Tamandua tetradactyla: one gene and its partners. The protein of the gene in region 1 binds, or shares a complex with, the protein of each later gene. Links are inferred from orthologs where the notes say so. Each region holds a gene or a part of one and is shown in the gene's direction. Other genes may lie near its edges.

Region 1 (7,514 bases):
TTTTTAAGTTTAATAGCGTTATAGAAAATTTGGCACCTGTGAAATTATATAGTGTGTCCTCGGTGAAATTAATATGAAGTAGTCCAAGTATCTATCCTGCCTAATTTATCAGCATCGTCCTGCCCCCATCCATTGTCCCCTTCTTGTTCAATTTGCCGGCACGCAGACCTCCTGGAAGCAGATAGTGTGAATAGGTCGTAGAGGATATCCGCTCCGGCCTCTTGCAATGGTATAAAAACTAAGACCTAAAGAGGCAAAGTAACTGTCCCAAGGCCCTTAGCCTTGCAGCCACTGCTGACCTCTGGAGGTAGCAGAGATAAAGGGGAAAGCCTTCCATACTGTCACTTCCCGTATCTGCCAGTTAAAGGGCTGGGTGGCAGGCAGAGGGCTTGTCTGTTGAGGCAGGTCTTCTACCTGCTCCTCCCATCTTCTCCCCATGTGAGAAGCTATGCCATGCAGCACCACCAGGAATACTGCCTGGGACCAGATGGAAGACTACAGCTACAGGCTCTGGACTGGGGTCACTCACACACAAACACACCCTCTTAAAGCTGTGGAGGCAGGGAGAGTTCAGATGTCAGAGGATTCTTCCCCATGACCCCTGTCCCTCCTGAGGGCTCAAAGGCAAGCTTCAAAGGTCCTCTGGGTCATGCTTGGGGTGGCCTGGCATATTATTCATCTCTTCCTCCTCCTGCTCCTCTTCTTCCCCTTCTGTCTTTTCTTGCCCATCTGTGATCTCCTTCTCCTTCCCTGTCCAGGCTTCCTGTAGACATGCTAGATTGAGTGAGAGAAGGCAATTTAGATAGATATAGGGAGTAGGGGCGGTTTTGGGTAAGTAGGAAAGGGGCCAGTCCACACATTTACCCGTTTCTGCAGCTGGGAGCACATGGTCTTCACAGAGAAAGTGCTGTAGAGGCTGCTCCTGGTGGTGGAAGTACCAGTCTCCCACGACATCTTCAAACTCCTCCAGCATAGTCTCACACTGACCAAGAGGAAGAAAGAACCAGAAAGGTGTCCGCTGTGCTGGGGTTTGAAAACCCTCTTCTCTGCTCTCTACTCCTTGTCTCCCCTACCTGAGCTGATTGACCTTGGAGGCAGCCTGGAGGGTAAGCCTGGTTTGCTAGATGTGTGATCCTCCTTCATTCAAACATTTACTAGTACCTACTCTGTGCCAAGTAGGTTACCTATTAAACTTTGGGTCTCAGTTTCTTGCCTGTAAAATGGTTATAGTACCCACCACATTGGGTGTCTTGTGGTTCTGACTCAGGCACATGCCATGTGCTCAATAAGCAGTAGTGGTTATTAGTAGTCTCTGTTACCGCTTCTTGACAGGCTTCAGGGCCAACATCAATTGATGGCATAGTCTTCACTCTTGCCACTTCTTCCCCCTTCTCTCTGGGCAGAGGTGGACATCCCCTCCAGTCAATCCTAGGACCTAGCTTCCCTCTCAGGTTCCCTTGCAGTGTAGTATCCCATCATACCTGCTTCTTAAGGAACGTGACCTCCACGCTGGGCTCGTCCCACAGCTCCAGAGGGATCCCCAGATCCACCTTCACCCCTTTCTGCACCAGGCCTTTGAGGGTTGCCATGGTCTGACTCTGACCCTGGGAGATGAGGAATTTGGTATTAGCCCAGCCCACTGCCTGCTTTTCCCTTCCCCTTCCCTACCACATCAGTGATGTCATCTACTGGAGATTCAGGGCTACATTCCATGAGGGTGAGATGTGGAAGGCTGATGAGGGGAAGGTATATTCTGGAGCTGGGGGAGGTTGGGCAGACATCTCCCCAGGACTTCTGGGAATATAGGTCACTGTTTCTGAAAAGTGGCATTCCCATCACGGCTGCCCCATAAAGGGTCTGACCTTGGCATATCTCAGGGAGCCCTTGCGGTCAGCATGAACGCTGTAATCCAGGATCTGCTCACATAAATTCTCCAAGGCCTCTTCTAGCCTCGTCTCCCTGTGGGAAGAGGGGAAACAAAGACTTCCTAGATGCTGTAGGAGTTCCCAGCGCTCTTTCAGGGCTTGGATGGTGGAGAAGCACCAAGAAAGACTCACGAAACGCTGTAAGGAACATGTCTTTTCCTCTTGCCTGTGTCCAGCACCTGTCCCAACTCCAGTACCTCTCGAGACTGGCCAGTTCGACTCAGGTTCTCCTGTAGCTCCAGGCTCAGCAGCTTACAGACTGGTGGAGGAAAGAGAGGTCCAAGGGGTCATGAACGACAAATACATACAAGCAACTCAATCAGCAAATGACCAAAGGCAGCACAGTGCAGACTCTGGAACCAGACTGGTGGGAATCCTGGTTCCCACTTCGCAGCTGTGTGAAAATCTCACTGTGCTTCCATTTCTTCATCTCTAAAATAGAGATAATACAAGTACCTCTTTTATAGTGATGTGGTGAGGATTATATAACTGCTGTTATTCTGCAGTTACTTATTGAGCTCCTTCTGTATGCACACTAGCAATAGAGCAGTAAGACCCACAATACCTATCCAAGTGATGTTGCCCAGGTAGTTGTGGAAAGACAGACGAACAGATGATGGCACCCTACACTAAGGGTTCAGACCAAGACTCTCATTAGTAAATACAAAATTCCTTCAATGGTCATTTACTGACCTCTTATTAGACTGCAGTGTGCTTAAGGGTGAAGTCTGCTCCACCACTGTCTTTTCAGCACCTATCACGTTACCTGGCACATGGTGGGTCCCAAGAAAGGGAATGGCCTAGACAGAAGTGACAAGTAAATGATACACTGGGGCAAATGACAAAAATGTCCAAAATGTACTAGGCACCATGCTAGGACCTGGGGAAACAAAACCATCCCCCACTGTCTCAAGGAGCTAGTGGGAGATGACAGATGAAGAAGAAGGCTTCCAGGGGAGGTGACATTTAAACTGGGTCTTAAAGAATAGATAGGAGCTTGCCAGATTCAGATGAGAGGGTCACTCCAGGCACGGGGAAGAGTAAAATGCAGAGGCACAGAGGTACAAGAGGATGAGGCAGGTTCAGTGACCAGTATGGCTGATGCATGTGGCACTTTAGCGATGGGGGGGGGGGGAGGATGGAAAGGTAAAAAAGGTTGGGAGCAAACAGCAAAGAGATTTATATGCTATGCTAGAAACTAGCTGTTTCTGATCATAGTAAGAGGCCTGTGGCGATGCCAAAGCAAGGACTGAGTCAATTAGGACTATGTTTAGAAAGACTGATGGAAAAGTGGGGGGAGAAGCACACGAAGGGGAGGGGTCAGAAGTAAATGAGAAAAAAGCTGAGGATCAAGGCCTGAGGGACACTGATATTTAATTGATATTTAAATGCAGTGGGGGTATGAGAAAAGGGATCCCAGGAAGAAATGAAAGCCAGGAAGACACTCAATTCTCCAGCACTGGAGTGTGCCGGCCCAGCGTGGTCCAAACTGATGCAGCCACAGAAGCTGCTGCTTGCTGTAAAAGCCATACAATACATGCCCTCGGCAAAGCACACACTGTTGGAGAACTTCTCAGCAGTGAAGCATCCTCCTACCTTGTTTATGAGCTTCAAGGGCAGAGTTCCTACCCTCCAAACTCCCTCAGGGGTGGGCATGGGCCTGTAATTTAGGAGCGTCTCTGCCGGGGTGAGGTAGAAGATGTCCACAAAGTATCAGCCTCACACACCTTGCTCTGCAAGATCTGAGTTCTCCAGACTTAGATCCGATGACATGGGGGAAACACACACACAAACTGAATATGCTCAGTAGAGTGGGCAGTCCCAGGCAGAAAGTTCCTGAACTACAATTCCCACAAACTATCGGAGCCCATGGCAGCCGGATAAGGGGTCTCCTTCCGGTTGTCTCGTGAGAATTGGAGTGCCACAGTTTGAGGGCAGCACTTTGCGATCCCTTCCTTGACCCCATTCGAATTTTGCCAAATTCCACGAGACCCTCCCTCTGAATTTCAAGGAGACCCATCACGGTCCATTTGGTCGTGTCAGTTCTTGGTTTAACACCTCTGCAGGCCTTTTACCGTGATCAGAAATCAGATGTCGATTTTAGTGGAGCCTACAAGCCTCTCTGCCCTAACCTTTCTAACCTTTCCATTCTCACTCCCTCAACCCAAACGTGTCCCCAGCAGGGGCAGGCGGGGCAGGGGGCTACGGAAAGGGGCTGATGACTTTAGATACCTTCGCATTTGCTGGGCAAGCGTTCTGTGTCCTCATCCTCCTCCTTCGGCGTCCCAGCCCAAGCCCCGAACACGGTCAAAATGAAAAGCAACGTTCCCAACAGCACAGGTCCCATGACTAAGTGCGGTCCGCAAATCACCATCTCCCTACCCTCAAACCAACTCCGGCAGGGTAGCGGGCCCTTTAAATTCAGAGGTGGTGGGCGGCAACCTGAAATCCAGCCTGGCACCGGAAGCGCGTGCGCCGTGCCAATCCCATAGGGGCGGGACCTCAGCCTCCTTCTCCGCCCCAGGTTTGTCGCGCCAGCTGAAGGTCCTGGCCGCCGAGCAGTGAAGAAGTCAATTGAAGTAACTGAGAAAGGAGAGCGTGCTTCTTACATATGGATATGGAAGCATTATTTTTTAAAATATTATTTAAGGCTTTGAGCCTAGGGAACTTATTCCGGCTCTGGAAAAGGGTCGTGCATTGCTCTCCATCTCTGCCAGGTCCTGCTCCTCAGAGGGGGCGGGCCTAACATGGCGCCGGACGCCGGATGAGCGGCGCTGTGACACTGGTGAGAGACAATTCCTGCGCTGGGCGCTTGGCTAACGGGGGTGGGTCTGAGTGCTATCGGGAGAGTATCAGGAAGAGGACAGTTGGTGATGTGTCCGTGCGCGTGGGGACTCCGGTGCGTGCGTTTGCATTGGAGGGATGCTGCGAGCGAGAGTTCGCTGAGCCTTCATTAGCGCGATTCCCATTGCCTGGGCAGCTTCTCTCGGCTTCTCTGTTGAAAAAATTCCTGCACCAATCACCTTGAAGACCTTCCCCTCTCTTGGGAAGCTTTCCAACTGTCTCTACCGGCCTGAGAGACCCCCAAAGCTGTAACATGTCTTATAAGCCTTTATTAGATACCTGCTGTCTACGGGTCCCAGTGCGGGAGTAGCAAGAAGACATAACGTAAATAGTCACCCTCCAGTGGGATGAACTCTGGAAAGGACTGTGTCCTGGGGACACAGGTGGAGGAATGCTTAGTTCTGTAGGGAAATGGGGAGGCTTTACCTAGGGGGCAGAGAGTACTGCTGGATGTCGAAGGATTAGTAGGAGTTTGGCAGGGAATTGGCACAGGACGGCATCAGGTATCCCTGCCGCCGGCACAGTGCATGTGTTGAATAGATGTGTTCCTTCTTACAAGTGAGAAAGGACCCCGGGGATGGTTTGAGAAGAAGCAGATTCACCTGCGGCTTCCATCTTCCCCGCCCTCCACAGCATGCCCCTTTTCTCTCCTTCCCAGGACAGTCGGACCTGAACACTGTTATCTTCCTAAAGCACATCTCCAAGCATGCCCCCTTACTTTTGACCACAGAATAGATTCCAAGCTTCGGCCTACGTCTTATTCATCTTAGTGATAGCAATAAGGGATATTTATTGAACAGACATGGTATATACAAATAGCTCTAAGCCTTACAATTCATTTATTCAGAGATTATCTAAATGTTTCTCTCCCCTCCGGCACTGTTCTAGGCTCTTGGAATACATCAGTGAACATAATAAAATCCCTGTTCTCATGGAGCTTTCATGGTGGGGACCATGGTGGTGATAAACAATAATAATGATACAATATATTAGAAGATTTTAGATTCTATGGGGGAAAAAAAGGTCAGTAGAGCAGAATGAGGGTGGGGTACAGTATTAAATATGGTGGTCAGGAAGGACAGCCAAGCAGACATCTGGAGAAGAGCATTCCAGGCAGAAAGAACAGCAAGAGCTTTAAATAGCCAGAACATACCTGGCAGTTTCAGAGAACTGTAAGGACAACAGTGTGGCTGGCTCAGGATAAAAGAAGGAAGGTGTCTTAGTTTCCTAGCTGCTAAAACAAACACCATATAATGAGTTGGCTGAACAGCAGGAATTTATTGGCTGATGGTTTCAGAAGCTAAAAGGCATACACCCTCCCCTGGTAGGTTGCTTCTAGCTGGCCAGCATTCTTTGGGATTCCTTGGCTTTTCTGTCACATGGCAGTGCACATGGTGGTGGTGTCTTCTTTCTCATCCCCGTGCCACTGACTTACAGCCTCTGGCTGTTTCTCGTGGCTTTTCCTTCTGTGTTCAGTTTCCTTTGCTTATAAGGATTTCAGCCATATTAGATTGGTCATACCTTAACTAATATCCTTAAAGGTCCTATTTGCAAATGGGTTCACACCAGGTCAGGGGTCAGGACCTGAAAATGCCTTTTGTGGGGCACATGATTCAATCCCCAACATGGGGGAAAGCAGGTCAGAAATGTAATGGGGAGGGGACAAACCTTCAAGGGCCTTGTAGACTATTAGAAGTGTTTCGGATCTTTCTCTAAGGTAAATGGAGAGCCGTGGCAGGGTTTTGAGCAGAAAAATGACATAATTACATTATTATGTCATAATAATGTTATTTATTTACATTTTATTATTTATATTTTAACAATCCCTTTGGCGGCTATGTTAGGAATGAATGTAGGGAGGCAAAGGTAGAAGCAGGGAGACCTTGTTAGGCTGCTGATGCTATCCAAGGGTGGGAGTGAAGGAACCAGTTTGGATTATCTGGGGGATTCAAAGTGAGGGATCAGATAAAGAAAAGTTGGCATTGCTTAAAAATGAGGAAAGTTGAGGCTGGAACAGGTAGATAGGGAGATGAACAGTTCAGTTTTAAGCGTGATTTTGAGCGGCAGTTGGATATTCAAGTCTGAAATTAGGGAGAGCCATCTAGGCTGGGGATATAAATTTGGCCATCACCAGCCTTTAAAAAATACTTCCTTGTAGGAGTAGTTGAGATGACTAAGGGAGACAACACAGCTAGAGAAGACAACCAAGGATTGAGCCCAGGACACTCCAACATTAAGCAGGTAGGGAAAAGAGGAAAAACAGTAAGAGAAACGGAGGATATGGCCAGAGAGGTAGGAGGAAAACCAGGAGAAGGTGAAGCAGCTGAATAAAGGAAGTGTTTCAGGAGGAGAAGGTGGTCACTCATGTTAAATACTGCTGAGAGGTCAAGTAAGATGACAAGGAGAGGATCTTTTGGCAATGTCCAGTCACTGGTGACCTTAATGAGCAGTTTTAGGAGCATAAATGGGGGCAAAAGCCCACTTGGAGTAGGTTTAAAGAGGAAAGAAGAGGAATTTGAAACAGAGAGTTAAGAGAACTCTTTGAAGGAGTTCTGTTACAAGAAACAACAACAACAAAGCAGGGTATAGCTGGTGCAGAAAGTAGGTTCAAGAAAAGATTTTGTATTTTTTTTAAGATGTCTAGCAGGCTTATGGGTCCATCGGATGCTCATGGTCATGAATTTCAAGTGAGAACTGGTCAGCACGGTTGTCTCATCATGTCCAGTTGTACAGACATGTAGGCTG
Region 2 (6,771 bases), on another chromosome or scaffold:
GTTTACTACAGGAAACTTTCAAGAATACAGTATTAGCAGTAGCCTAATTATTGTCTTCCCTTATTATAGGTAGGAAGTCTTTGAAGGACTTGTTACCACTCTGGAAAATTTATTGCCTTCCCTAAATATTTGGTTCACTGGTATCACAGATATTCCATAAACAAGTACAGGGGGGTAATTGATCGGCTCAGAGTCTGTGTTTTTCTGTATGTTTAATGGATTTGAAAAAACGAACGAACCTGGATTTCTTAATAGATACTAAGGTGATGGTGATATGGCAGAGATCTTAACTTCAAGGTCAGTATAATCCCTCCCCACCCCATTTAATAGCCTTTAGAACACATGCTAAACTCAAAAGCCAATAATATGTTTCAGGATTAAATGAGTTAGATGCCTCAGGGAAACCTCAGTTAATCCCTTTGGTTAATTCAAACTGTCTTCCAGTTTAAGGTTTACTAACGAAAATACATCATAATTTGAGCAAATCAGTATTTAATAGAATTAATCTCAGGCTACTTTCTGTGACAAGGGCATTTGAATATCCCCAAACTTGGGGAATTAAAACATAAAATAATATTTAGATTATTTTCATTCATAAGCATTATTTATATTTTATATATAAATATATATATATATATAATTGCAGAGGCTAGAATGTTTACTCTTCTATCTGTAAAATAAGTAAAATCAGGTATAATTGAGGAACAAGCACATTGAAAAAATTTCCTCTTCAACAGACAGAAAATAGATCATCATGGAAATAATAAATGAATCAAATAGCATCCTTCAATACAAAGAGAAGGATGCCCTTCTGGAAGGGCATACTTTCTTCTTAAAGATTAACATAAAACTAAATTAATCCTAGGTCATTTTAATTTCTTCCTATAATACAATATCACAATCTACCTAAAACCAAGAGGACACATTCACATACACTATGATTAATCTCCCCTGCCCCATAACAATTGGCACTACCCTCAACTAGAGAAGAAATTATTATCTATGTATTAGAGACATAGATGAAGTGACTCTATCTCATTTTAAGGTGACAGAGAAAGTATTCTCTCTCATAAATTATGACAGGAGTTAGCCTATATTTGTGTTCTTTCTACATAGATCAATTTTCCATCCAATTAGCAAACTTTTCTTGTGTTTCTCCTATGTTGTGGTAGTAGGCACATGATGAATAAAATAGAAATGCTCCCTGACCATCACGGAGCTTTCAATCTGGGGTGAGGAAAACAATTAACAAGTGCATAAATAAAGCAATTTTGGGAATATTAATCAGACAAGATATTCTCTTAAATTCATGTGTAATTGTTAATATTTGAGAGGATAGCAATTAGATTCTAAACGACTTTGATGCTCTACCAAACTGATCCTATTTGAAAAAAATGGAAATGAGTAGGAATAAGTGGAAACCCTTATCTATTACTTGGCAACAATATAAATAGGTGTTGATGCACACCAGACAACCCATACGTGAAACAAACAGAAAATAGCCAGCAAAACAGTAGTGCCATAGTGAAAAAAATTCAGCATGTGTGTTGGTTTGAAAGGATTATGTACCCTAGAAAAGCCATGTTTTAATCCTAATCACTCTTGTGAGAGAAATGTTTTCTTCTAATCTCTAGGTTGGAAATTTGATTAGTTTATTTCCACAGAGATGTGATTCACCCAATTGTGGTGATTAAACTTGATTAGATGAAGAGGTGTCTCCACCCATCCTACATGGGACTTGATTAGTTTACTGGAATCGTATAAAAGAAGAGACATTTCAGAGAGAGTTCCCTTTTTTGAGAACGAGGAGAGGAGCGCAGAGTCAGACACAAGGACGAGAGAACCACAGAGTCCACCAGCCAGGGACCTTTGGAGATGAAGGAACACTCCTCCCCAGGAGCTTCATGAAGCAAAAGTCCTGGAGAGAAAGCTAGCAGACGCTGCCGTGTTTGCCATGTGCCCTTTCAGCTGAGAAAGAAACGCGCTGAACGTCATCAGCCTTCTCCAACGAAGGTATCTTTCCCTGGATGCTTAGATTGGACCCTTCTATAGACTTGTTTTAATTTCGACAATTTCACAGCCTTAGAACTGTAAGCTAGCAAGTTATTAAATTCCCCTTCTTAAAAGCCATTCCGGACCCAGCAATACCATTGCTAGGTATCTACTCAAAGGACTTAAGGGCAAAGACACAAACGGACATTTGCACACCAATGTTTATAGCAGCATTATTTACAATTGCAAAGAGATGGAAACAGCCAAAATCTCCATCAACAGAAGAGTGGCTAAACAAACTGTGGTATATACATACGATGGAATATTATGCAGCTTTAAGACAAGATAAACTTATGAACCATGTAATAACATGGATGGACCTAGAGAATATTATGCTGAGTGAATCCAGCCAAAAACTAAAGGACAAATACTGTATGGTCCCACTGATGTGAACGGACATTCGAGAATAAACTTGAAATATGTCATTGGTAACAGAGTTCAGCAGGAGTTAGAAACAGGGTAAGACAATGGGTAATTGAAGCTGAAGGGATACAGACTGTGCAACAGGACTAGATACAAAAACTCAAAAATGGACAGCACAATAATACCTAATTGTAAAGTAATCATGTTAAAACACTGAATGAAGCTGCATCTGAGCTATAGGTTTTTGTCTTGTTTTGTTTTGTTTTGTTTTGATTTTACTATTATTACTTTTATTTTTTTCTCTATATTAACATTCTATATCTTTTTCGGTTATGTTGCTAGTTCTTCTAAACCAATGCAAATGTACTAAGAAATGATGATCATGCATCTATGTGATGATGTTAAGAATTAATGATTGCATGTGTAGAATGGTATGATCTCTAAATGTTGGGTTAATTTCTTTTTTTCCGTTAATTAAAAAAAAAAAAAGAGAAGGGATAATTGGAGATGAAGGGATACAGACTGTACAACGGGACTTGATATAAAAACTCAGAAATGGACAGCACAATACTACCCAATTGTAATGCAATTATGTTAAAACACTGAATGAGGCTGCATGGAGGTATAGGTTTTTTGTTTTTGTTTTTTTTGTTTTTTTTTCTTCCTATTATTGTTTCAATTCTTATTCTGTTGTCTTTTTATTTCTTTTTCTAAATCGATGCAAATGTACTAAGAAATGATGAATATGCAACTATGTGATGTTATTAAGAATTACTGATTGTACATGTAGATTGGAATGATTTCTAATTGTTTTGTTAATTCTTTTTTTAATTAATAAAAAAAAAATTTACTGAGGTATAAAAAAAAAAAAAAAAAAAAAAACAAGGAAAAATCAAAAAAAAAAAAAAAAAAAAAAAAAAAAACACTGAATGAAGCTGCATCTGAGCTATAGGTTTTTGTTTTGTTTTGTTTTGTTTTGATTTTACTATTATTACTTTTATTTTTTTCTCTATATTAACATTCTATATCTTTTTCGGTTATGTTGCTAGTTCTTCTAAACCAATGCAAATGTACTAAGAAATGATGATCATGCATCTATGTGATGATGTTAAGAATTAATGATTGCATGTGTAGAATGGTATGATCTCTAAATGTTGGGTTAATTTCTTTTTTTCCGTTAATTAAAAAAAAAAAAAGAGAAGGGATAATTGGAGATGAAGGGATACAGACTGTACAACGGGACTGGATATAAAAACTCAGAAATGGACAGCACAATACTACCCAGTTGTAATGCAATTATGTTAAAACACTGAATGAAGCTGCATGTGAGGTATAGGTTTTTTGTTTTTGTTTTTTTTTCTTTCTATTATTGTTTTAATTCTTATTCTGTTGTCTTTTTATTTCTTTTTCTAAATCGATGCAAATGTACTAAGAAATGATGAATATGCAACTATGTGATGTTATTAAGAATTACTGATTGTACATGTAGATTGGAATGATTTCTAATTGTTTTGTTAATTCTTTTTTTAATTAATAAAAAAAAAAAAAAAGCCATTCCGTTCTAGCATATTGCATTCCGGCAGCTAGCAAACCAGAACAGTTATAAATTCTTGTATTGGCTCCCAGACACACTTTGGGGAGCATCATATTCCTTGAAGCAGTGACACTTTGCACACTAACGCCCTTATCTCCGGTAATCATCCGGAAGCCTAGAGGCTATCCGGCTCCATGGAGATCCGATAAAAGTCCTGGCTTAGCAGGGTAGCTAGAGGTGGGGGGTAGGGGAAGTCTGTCTCTTAATCCGAACTGTTATTTCCGTGCGTTCTCAAACCAAAAGCTCTGTATGAAATATTTTACTTCTTACGGGGTTTACGGTCTACGTTGTCGCAAAAATTGGCCTTTCACGCCCAGCTGCGCAAACGCGCATGCGCGCGCCGGGCGGCTCTCATTTCCGGGCAGGGGGTCGTGTCGCTCAAGCCGCCTCCCGCCCCGCGCAGTGACGTAGCGCTTCTTTGTTCTCTAGGTCTGCAGCTCCGGACTGAGCGCTGCGGTATACTGAGCTGCGAATCTCGGCGACATTTCGCGTTGATAGCCCTGGTCCTTTCACTCGTAATTGGTAGCGGATCTTTGTGCCAACCGCTGAGAAGAACAGAGGCATCGAAAAGGAGACTCTGGGCCCCTGGCTGCCGTGCTTCGGGCCGAGTCCTCTTCCGCTCGCACCGGTCTGGAGAAGCCGAACTTGTAATCTTCAGTGGATTGTAAGTACCGGAGGCGAAGAAAGCTCACTGCGCCTCGCTTTTTAAAATATCTTTGTTCCGGGAGAGTTTGTGGATTGGGAATGTCTGTTGGGCATTACTTTCTGGGCCGAAAATAATTTCGCCGGAACCGCCATTTGCTTTGCTGCTTGCTAGCTGTTTGCATTGTCCGGCAGCGGCACCTAGAGGTTGAAACTTGGCATTGCAGCTAATAGATTTAAATGATCACAACTGCGAAAAAGCCAGTGTTTGTCAGTAACGACTGGTTCTCAGTCGCGTCATATTTAGAGAAAAGGCCTGGGACTTAATTCATAATTAAGTAAAAATAGATGCTTAGCTGCTGTTGTGTTTTAAACTTTGTAATGAAGAATTTCAGTTTGTAACAGTGGCTTTTCTAATTATTGCAGAAAGTAACTTGGAACTTGTTAGTGAAACAAGTTTTAGAGGAGAAGTGTCACAAGGAAGTAAAGATGAGTAAGAGCAAAGATGATGCTCCTCATGAGCTAGAGAGCCAGTTTATTCTACGCCTACCTCCGGAATATGCCTCTACTGTGAGGAGGGCAGTACAGTCTGGCCATGTCAACTTGAAAGACAGACTGACAATTGAGTTACATCCTGATGGGCGCCATGGAATTGTCAGAGTGGACCGGGTCCCACTGGCTTCAAAGTTGGTAGATCTGCCCTGCGTTATGGAAAGCTTGAAAACCATTGATAAAAAAACCTTTTACAAGACAGCTGATATCTGTCAGATGCTTGTGTCAACAGTGGATGGTGACCTCTACCCTCCAGTGGAAGAGCCAGTTGCCGCTGCTGATCCAAAAGCAAGCAAGAAAAAGGATAAGGACAAAGAGAAGAAGTTTATCTGGAACCATGGAATTACTCTGCCTCTAAAAAATGTCAGAAAGAGACGGTTCCGTAAGACAGCAAAGAAGAAGTACATTGAATCTCCAGATGTGGAAAAGGAAGTGAAGCGTTTGCTGAGTACAGATGCAGAAGCAGTCAGTACTCGTTGGGAAATCATTGCAGAAGATGAAACCAAAGAGGCAGAAAATCAGGGCCTTGATATCTCCTCTCCGGGAATGTCTGGCCATAGGCAGGGCCATGACTCATTAGAACACGATGAGCTTCGGGAGATATTTAATGACCTCAGCAGCAGCAGCGAAGATGAAGATGAGACGCATCATCCGGATGAAGAAGATATAAACATCATCGATACGGAGGAGGATCTGGAGAGACAGCTGCATGACAAGCTAAATGAATCAGATGAACAGCACCAAGAAAACGAGGGAACCAATCAGCTGGTTATGGGGATTCAGAAGCAGATTGATAACGTGAAGGGCAAGCTCCAAGAGACCCAGGACAGGGCAAAACGACAGGAGGATCTCATCATGAAGGTGGAAAACTTGGCGCTCAAGAACAGATTTCAGGCTGTGTTGGATGAACTCAAACAGAAGGAAGACCGAGAAAAGGAGCAGCTTAGCTCTTTGCAAGAAGAGCTAGAATCACTCCTAGAGAAGTGAGAAAACCTTTGATACTTAATTTTTTTTTTTTTTTTTTTTTTTTTTTTTTTTAAAGGAAAGACAGAGAGAAGGAAGGAAGGATAGAAGGAAGGAAGGAAGGAAGAAAGGGAAACATTTTTAAACATTTTCTTGTTTTATTGTATTCTGTTTCTCCGTTTTTGTTACATGGGCTGGGGCCGGGAATCGAACCGAGGTCCTCCGGCATAGCAGGCAAGCACTTTGCCCGCTGAGCCACCGCGGCCCGCCCTGATACTTAATTTTATTCCTCAGACAGGTCAGCCAAAAAGAAACACCTAGAATTGGATATTATGACCTTGTAGTAGTTCCTTTTCCCTCTTCTGTCTTCTGTTGAGTTTATCCTGTTTGTTTCTCAGAACCAGTTTGCTAGGTGTTTCTCTTCTAGGAAGTAGGCTTGTATAGGTAGAAAAATGATTTTAGGAAAGTTGTAGGATTGAACAGTTTAATGTTCATAATCACAGCTATACTGCAAGACTTTGCTGTTGTTACTCTGTTTGCCAGACACTATTGCTTTTTTGATGCCTTCTGAGATCAGTAAGAAAAGGCAGTGAAGCTAGTTTGCA
Region 3 (7,840 bases), on another chromosome or scaffold:
CTTCTATGCGTTTGCCCTTTGCCTCCCTTCTTTCTCATCATTGTCCCCATATAGTCTTTCAACCATCATCTTTATGTTGATGTCTCCCATATGATTTTCTCTGCTCATGATTCCCCATGGATTTCCAGGTCTGCACTTCCATGAGTTTATTGGGCATATCTGGACTCTCAGACTCAGATTAAACTTATTCCTTTCCTTTCCCAATTGCTTTCCCCTTTTACTTTCCTACTTATGTTAATGGCATACCATCCACCTGGATATAAACCTCTCATGCATATGTCTCAGAATCATTGAATCAGAAAGACCTATTAAGTCAACCTCCTTAAGTTTCTCTTGAATCATTTCCTTCTTCTTTTCTCCATTGCCTTAATTCAGGTTCTCATCATCTTTCATCTTATCTGGCCTTTCTGCTAAAGTGATCTTTTTTTTTTTTTTCTTAAAGATAGGTTTATGTGACTCCTCTGCTTGAAAATCACCCAGGAGTTCTCTGCAGTTTGAAATTCAGTCTCTGAAGAGAACATTCCAGGCCTTTCACAATATTACCCCAGGCTCACTTCCTGCATCGCTGCCCAACAAACTGGGCAACTCACCCTGAATATCTTGTCAAAACACACCATGACTCTTCCTGCTCTGTGCTTTATTCCTGCTCTGCTCATCACACTGCAGGGGTCCCCGATTCCCCCTCCCCGGCTTTATATTTTGGATCTTGGGTTCAGAAGGTTGAATTATTTGCATTCCACATGACATACTATTATAATTGGCCCTTCCAAAGCCCTTGTTCTTTATTTATTCTTTTGTTCCTATTTCCATTCCTCCTACTCCTACCACTCTAATGTGTTTAATATTTATGCTTTTTGTTTTATGCTCCTGTAAAATATGTATTGCTTTGCATGCATGTATTTTTAATCTACATAAATGATATTGTATTATAGGTCTCAGTTTATAATTTTTCCACTTAGTTCTAAAAAAAGCTCTATTCAGGTGGTCTGTTGCTTCTGATTACTGCATAGTACTCCTTTATGTACATCCAGCACGTTTTACCTATCCACTCTCCTGACGATGGACACCATGAATGTTTTACACCCCACCTTCTGGACGAGGCCAATATTTCATCATTGTCTAACACAGTGGTTCTCAATCTTATCAGACTCAAAAATCTTCCTTAAATAACAAATATATTATAATGGCTCCTTTATTATGTTGAAATTCACAGACAACATAACCTATTGTAGTAGACAGCCTCTAAAATAGTCCTCAGTGACCCCATTTTCCTGGTGTTCTTAAGAGATCTTCTCTCCTTGAGTGTGGGCTGGACTGGTTGACTTTCTTCCAGTGAACAGAATAGAGAGAAGTGATGGGATGTCAATTTCAAGATTAGGTTACAAAAAAGATTGTGGCTGTGTCATGGATGTTCTCCAAGACTCTCACTTATCTTCCCTGAGGGAAGCCAGCCGCCATGTTGTGAGCTGCCCTACGGAGAGGACTCCACGGCAAGGAACTGAGGCAGGCCTACTCCTACAGTTAGTGAGAACTGAGAGCCTATAGCCACTAGGAACTGAATCCTGCTGACAACAATATGAATGATTTTGGACGTGAATCTTCCTCCTTCGACCCTTAAATGGGACTGCAGCCCCAGTCAATGCTCTGAATGCAACATGAGAGACCTTGAGCCAGAGGCAACCAACTAAACCACACTCAGATTCCTAACCCGCAGAAATGATGTGATGCTAATTGTTTTAAGCTATTAGGTTTGGGGATAATTTGTTACACAGCAATAAATAATATACCTGCATACCCACATCATTTAAAAATAATACATCATTTCCTAAGTATAATATAAAGGTAAAATTAAGACAGTAAATTGTAATAAAATGCTTAGGCACAAGTACACTAGGGTTTGCAATGAAGTTTTCAAATGCTTGCACTGTTATGTTGTATCAACTTGAATGAAAGAGTTATAAATGCAGACTGATTCAGGTGAGTATTGTGTTGTTTTTATTTATTTTTTTTGTTTTTTATTCAGGTGAGTATTGGCTACTCAAATTATTACAAGTTGTGATGGTTAGGTTCATGAGTCAACTTGGCCAGGTAATGGAGCCCAGTTGTTTGGTCTAACAAGCACTGGCCTGTTACTGTGAGGGCATTTTGTGGACTTAAATCATCAATAAGTGGATTACATTATGGCTGATCATATCTACAGTCAACTGAAGAGATTGTGATACTAGACAAAAGCAGTGGGTTCTCTGCCTAGTGCACTCAAGCGACCAATTCATGAGATACCAGGGTTTCAAAGAGAGAAAAAGTTTATTGCTAGGTTTGAAGTCTAGGAGATCAGATGGCCTATCAGCCTGAAAATCTGTCTCCCTGGACTGCAGTAAGTCTGATAGTTTTATAGTATCAAAAGATGGGCAGGTTTTAGGATAATGAGCACAATGGCTCTAGATAATGAGGTTAGAGATAATCTAATCACTGAGCATGTGCAGGTTGACTTCATGCTTAGTCACAGAATGTATGTAAGAAAACGGAAGCCTTAATATGATGATGGGGCTGGTTTTTAGTAGTATAATGAAGTATAGGTCACTTATAGGTAAAAGTTTAAACTACTGTGCACGTCTAGTAAGTTGTTTTTAATTAGATCTAGCCTCGTTTACAGTTTTGGAGTTGTTCAGTGGTAGAATGCTCACCAGTTTTTTGTGGGAGAACCAGGTTTGATTCCTGGCCCATGCACAAGAAAAGAAAGGAAAAGAAAGAAGATCCTTTTGGAATTGGGGTGAGTTAGTTCTGGGCTGACTCCAAGCCCTTAATTAATAAACATTATGGACTATCTTTAGTGATTTAGTGAGGATCAGTAACAAGTTTTTTACAATCAATCATAAGGGTACAAAATAAAGGCTATATAATTATATAATCATTATCAAAGATCAAGACAATTAGATTATAGTTCAGCAATCTCAGGTATTTCCTTACAGTTATTCTAACACACTAGAAAGTAAAAATAAATATCTATATAATAATTCAGTAACCATAATCATTTCTTAAATCCTAAATTCTTGGTTACAACTGGCTTTAGCAATGAGAGACGACTCATCCAATGAGTTGAAGGCTTTAAAAGGATAAGTGATGATTTCAGCAGTCAGAGGAGAGAATTTTCATCTCCACTTCAGCCAGCCAGCTTCTCCTGGGGAATTCATTGAAAATCTTCAATGGAGTTCCTGGCATGCAGCCTGCCCTATAGAATATGGACTCATGCATTCCTACAGTTCCATGAGACACTTTTATAAAATTTTATAAGATTTGCAGATATCTCCTGTCAGTTCTGTTTCCATAGAGAATCTATAACCAAGAAATTAGGATTTTAAGGGATGATTTTGATTACAGAATCATTATATAGATATTCTTTTTTGCTTTCTGGCATATTGGAGTAGCCAGAAGGAAACTCCTGAAATCTCTAAATTGCAGTCTAGCTGCCTTGATCTCTGATAATGGTTGTATAGCCCTTATCTTCCGCCCCTGTGATTGTTAAAACCTTGTGACTAACCTTCATTTGTACCCAGTTTTCCAACTTTAGAGTTTTGTAATCACTAAAGATATCCCCTAAGGTTTATTAATGAAGGGTCCTGGGTCAGCCCAGAACTAACCCACTCCAAATATAAAGTTATTTTGATGACCAAGACCGGATCTAATCAAAGCGGGCCTGCTGGACATGCACCCTAGCTTAGTCTTTAACCTGTAAATCACCTATTCCTCATTCCATCGCTTTCTTTCATACATTCTGTGACTAAGCATGTGATCAATCTGCACGTGCTGAAAATCAGATTACCTCTAATTTCATTATCTGGGGCCACTGTGCTCATCCTAAATGCTGCCCATCCTTTTCTGTGTTAAAACTACCAGACTGACTGCAGTTTGGGGAGACCGATTTTGCTAGGCCATCTGCTCTCCTACTTTGCCCCTAGTAATAAACTCTTTCTCTCTGAAACTCTGTTTTCTCAGGCATTGGTTATCGAGTGTGTCGGGGAAAAAGAATCCATGGCCTTTGTCTGGCAACAAATCCTAATACATAAGTGATGTTGCCTTTGGTGACATGTCTTAAAAGGTCCGTAACTTTGTAAATTCCAAATAAAACCAAGTACAAAATCCCACCAATTCAGGATAGTTTTATTCCTAGAAAATTCAATACACACTGAAGTGCAGGAAAATGCTTTGTATTTATATGTTAACAAACTTAGTTCTAGGCTCAGATAATTATAAACAATTTTTTCATTCACATGAATGTTTATCAGGCTATTCAGAAATTGCATATATCAAGGAACAGTTTTTCCGTTGTGCGGCATCATCTCTTGCCTTGCAGGGCACCATAAATTCCTAGCTCCGGCCCTCAAATGACCATAGTTCATCCAATCATTATTTCACCAGAAAACTTTCCTACAAAATGTTTAATCCTCTCGGTCTTGAGGTCGTTACTGCCTCTCGAGAACTAGCAGCAAAGTAAAATATTGTCAATAACTGTTAATAGGGGGATCGTCAAGTGCTGAAATTGTTTAAATATACCCTTCAATCGGTCGAAGGACCGCTGGCTACCCCTCCCTTCCCCTTCCCCCTTCCTCTTCTTTGCTACAGTTTAATTCTTTCTTCAGTATCACGGGGACAACGAGGCGCCCCTCCTGCAGATAAGCCCTTCATTCAGCAGCCACACGGGCCTGCAAGCTCCGCAGGCCGACCGGCTGTGACCGGCTAGGACCCGCCCTCTGGCCCTCCCAGACTTTGCGTCACAGGAAGTGAGGAAGCGGAAGTAGTAAGACGCGGAAAAACATAGGTTTGCTGGATGGTAGGATGGCAGATGAGGAAGAGGACCCCACGGTGAGTGACCGCTTCTGTCCCAGCTCTCCCTTCTCTTTTCTCTTTTCGGGCTCCGTAGCGGCGGCTTTTGAAGCTGAATTCAGAATCGGGTTTGTTTTCCTTAGTGAATTTCCAAGAGAGTTCGGTGACCTCTCGCCGTGCTTGTCTCTCCCTTTGGAGTCGTTTTAGTACGCGGAATAGGACGTGAAGAGTAGGGAGATGCCTCCTTTTCCTTTGGTTTTGGTTCATATCTGCCAGACAGTCTTTGAAACGCCTAGAGAATTCTCAAGAGTTGAAGGCTAATAATTGTTAGCGCTCATTATGAATCAACAGTTCAACTTCTGACAAAGCTGATATACTTACTTCAAATTAATGGAAAAATAATGGACTAAAAGTCAGGGAACTTGAACTTCAAAATCTGTTTTTTGAGCAAGTTATTTAACTTTGAACTTCTGTTTCCTTGTAAATGGGATTAAAGTTTACTTGAGGAAAGCTCGTAGCACTACACAAATAAGTGTTTAGTAAGTATTACTGTTTCTTACTACAGGGAGGTAGTTTTGATTTAATACTACCAACTCTTTTACCGGTAGCAGTCTATAAATAGGCCAACTTGATTTAAAAAAAAAAGTAACTAAAGAGTCTGAAGTTGAACTAAATAATCTTTAAGGCCCTTTCAATGTTAAGATTTCATAATTTATTGTTGTTTGCCTTAAGCTTTCTGACCTGATGTTAGTGTTGAAAATGAAAAAAAAAAGTTAATCATTAAAAACTCAAATGCAATGCAATCGTATGACATTTATATGTATATATATATTTAACTTCTAGTTTGAGGAAGAAAATGAAGAAATTGGAGGAGGTGCAGAAGGTGGACAGGGTAAAAGAAAGAGACTTTTTTCTAAAGAATGTAAGTTATATTTGGCAATGGTTTTATTATGGACGGTTACAAGCTTCTGAACCTGTCTGTACTAAGCAGATTATCATTCTGAATTATCATTCTGTGAGTCCCTGTAAGAACAATATTCTTGGACTTGTCTATTCTGTTTAGTTTTAAATTGTAGATAATAACAATCCTAACCTCAACTTATAATTGAGGTTTTTAAGTGAAGAAATGTGTTTTAATTCGGCGCATAAGAACATATCCATCCATTACTTTTTCTATCCCTCATCTTTGCAGCAAAGGAACTTCTTTGACTATTAAGCATAAGAAATGATGGATTCTGGTATACATCTGCCCCTACTACTGATACTGTAGGCCAACCCCTAAAAGGCTGTCCATCTCCCAGTTCAGTTTCCTTTACTATGAGTTTTGACAGATGAGGCTACACACAGATTTATAAATATCTGGTTTATTTATGCTGGGTCAAATATGAGCAGTTCCCAAATGCTCTTGAAATTGTAGGATCAGTATATCTTTTTGTTCTTTTTTTAAAAACCACCCAAATTGATTCTCATATCTCAATTCCTTACCTAAAATAGAGCTTACCTAACTAGTATGTGTTCCATCTCTGCTGTTATTTAATCTAATTATATGTGGTTTTATGTATTCATAAAAAAGGGCTCTCTACCTCAGAGCATCCCAGAATGATGCTTGCATAGTTCTTCGCAGAGACCTTTGTTCCATTTGGATTACTTTATTTTTATGATGGTAAGAATTTGGAATTTCGACAGCCTTCTCCTTGGTTTACCTGAATTTTTAATCTATCTTACTGAAAAAGAAGATCTGTTCAAACTCTTTCTCATTTATTTTTAATTTTTTGCAGTTTTATTGAGATATATTCACACCATAGTATTCAATCAGTATCTCACAGTATCATCCATAACACAATTGTGCATTTATCACCACAATTTTAGAACGTTTTCATTACTGTGATTGAATGCAATTCATCCATAGTATTCAATCAGTATCTCACAGTATCATCCATAACACAATTGTGCATTTATCACCACAATTTTAGAACATTTTCATTACTGTGATTGAATACAATTCATCCATAGTATTCAATCAGTATCTCACAGTATCATCCATAACGTAATTGTGCATTTATCATCACAATTTTAGAACATTTTCATTACTGCAAAACAAAAAACCCCAAAACATCTCATACCTCTTATCCCCCCAATTACTGACCCCTAGCTTTGATTTGTTACATTTGTTACTGTTCATGAAAGGATGTTAAAATATTCCTGTTATCTATACTGTCCATAGTTTGCAGTAGGTCCATTTCTCCCCATATACAACTATATTATTATCTCCTTGTAATAGTGATGTATGTACATTTGTTCTAGTTCATGAAAGAACATTTTTATATTTATACTATTAATCACAGTCATTGTTCACCACAGGGTTCACTGTATTATACAGTCCCATGTTTTATCCTCCAGCTTTCCTTCTAGTGACATACACAATTCTAAACTTACCCTTTCATCCGCAATCACATGCAAAATTTAGTGCTGTTAACTGTTAATTACACTTACTATAATGTGCTACAATCACTTCCATTCATTTCCAAACATTTAAATTCAACATAGTTAAAAGTTCTGCACACTTTAAGCGTCTGCTCCCCATTCTTTACCCTCATTCTATATCCTGGCAACCTATATTCTAGATTTTATCTCTATGAGTTCACATATAATTAGTTTATATCGTACAATATTTGTACTTTTGTGTCTGACTTACTTCACTGAACGTAATGTTTTCCAGGTTCATCTATGTCATGTACTTCAGGACTTCATTCTTATTTACTGCTGAATAATATCCCATTGTATGTATATACCACAGTTGTTTATCCATTCATTAGTTGATGTGCATTTGGGTTGTTTCCATCTTTTGGCAATTGTGAATAATGCTGCTATGAACATCAGTGTGCAAATGTCTGTTTGCATTCTGCTTTCAGTTCTTCTGGGTATATACCTAGTAGTGGGATTGTCAGATCATATGGCAGTTCTCTACTTAGTTTCCTGAGGTACCACTACACTGTCTTCCACAGTGGCTGTACCATTT

The links.
Region 2: TAF6 (region 1) and TAF7 share a complex: the UniProt entries of both Homo sapiens proteins name them as parts of the TFIID basal transcription factor complex. The link is inferred for Tamandua tetradactyla from reciprocal best matches to the Homo sapiens genes TAF6 and TAF7.
Region 3: TAF6 (region 1) and TAF13 share a complex: the UniProt entries of both Homo sapiens proteins name them as parts of the TFIID basal transcription factor complex. The link is inferred for Tamandua tetradactyla from reciprocal best matches to the Homo sapiens genes TAF6 and TAF13.

The regions. Positions count from the first base shown.
Region 1 is NC_135349.1:8,261,362-8,268,875, reverse strand, and holds the start of TAF6 (transcription initiation factor TFIID subunit 6), read left to right. Parts: upstream 1-4,433; 5' UTR 4,434-4,710; intron 4,711-7,514. Other genes in the region: CNPY4 (protein canopy homolog 4), read right to left, coding at 632-774, 865-982, 1,482-1,604, 1,863-1,959, 2,058-2,184, 4,158-4,299. UniProt on the Homo sapiens protein: The TFIID basal transcription factor complex plays a major role in the initiation of RNA polymerase II (Pol II)-dependent transcription.
Region 2 is NC_135346.1:21,439,103-21,445,873, reverse strand, and holds TAF7 (transcription initiation factor TFIID subunit 7), read left to right. Parts: upstream 1-4,357; 5' UTR 4,358-4,673; intron 4,674-5,077; 5' UTR 5,078-5,140; coding exon 5,141-6,190; 3' UTR 6,191-6,213; downstream 6,214-6,771. UniProt on the Homo sapiens protein: The TFIID basal transcription factor complex plays a major role in the initiation of RNA polymerase II (Pol II)-dependent transcription.
Region 3 is NC_135337.1:13,851,527-13,859,366, forward strand, and holds the start of TAF13 (transcription initiation factor TFIID subunit 13), read left to right. Parts: upstream 1-4,747; 5' UTR 4,748-4,833; coding exon 4,834-4,860; intron 4,861-5,664; coding exon 5,665-5,743; intron 5,744-7,840. UniProt on the Homo sapiens protein: The TFIID basal transcription factor complex plays a major role in the initiation of RNA polymerase II (Pol II)-dependent transcription.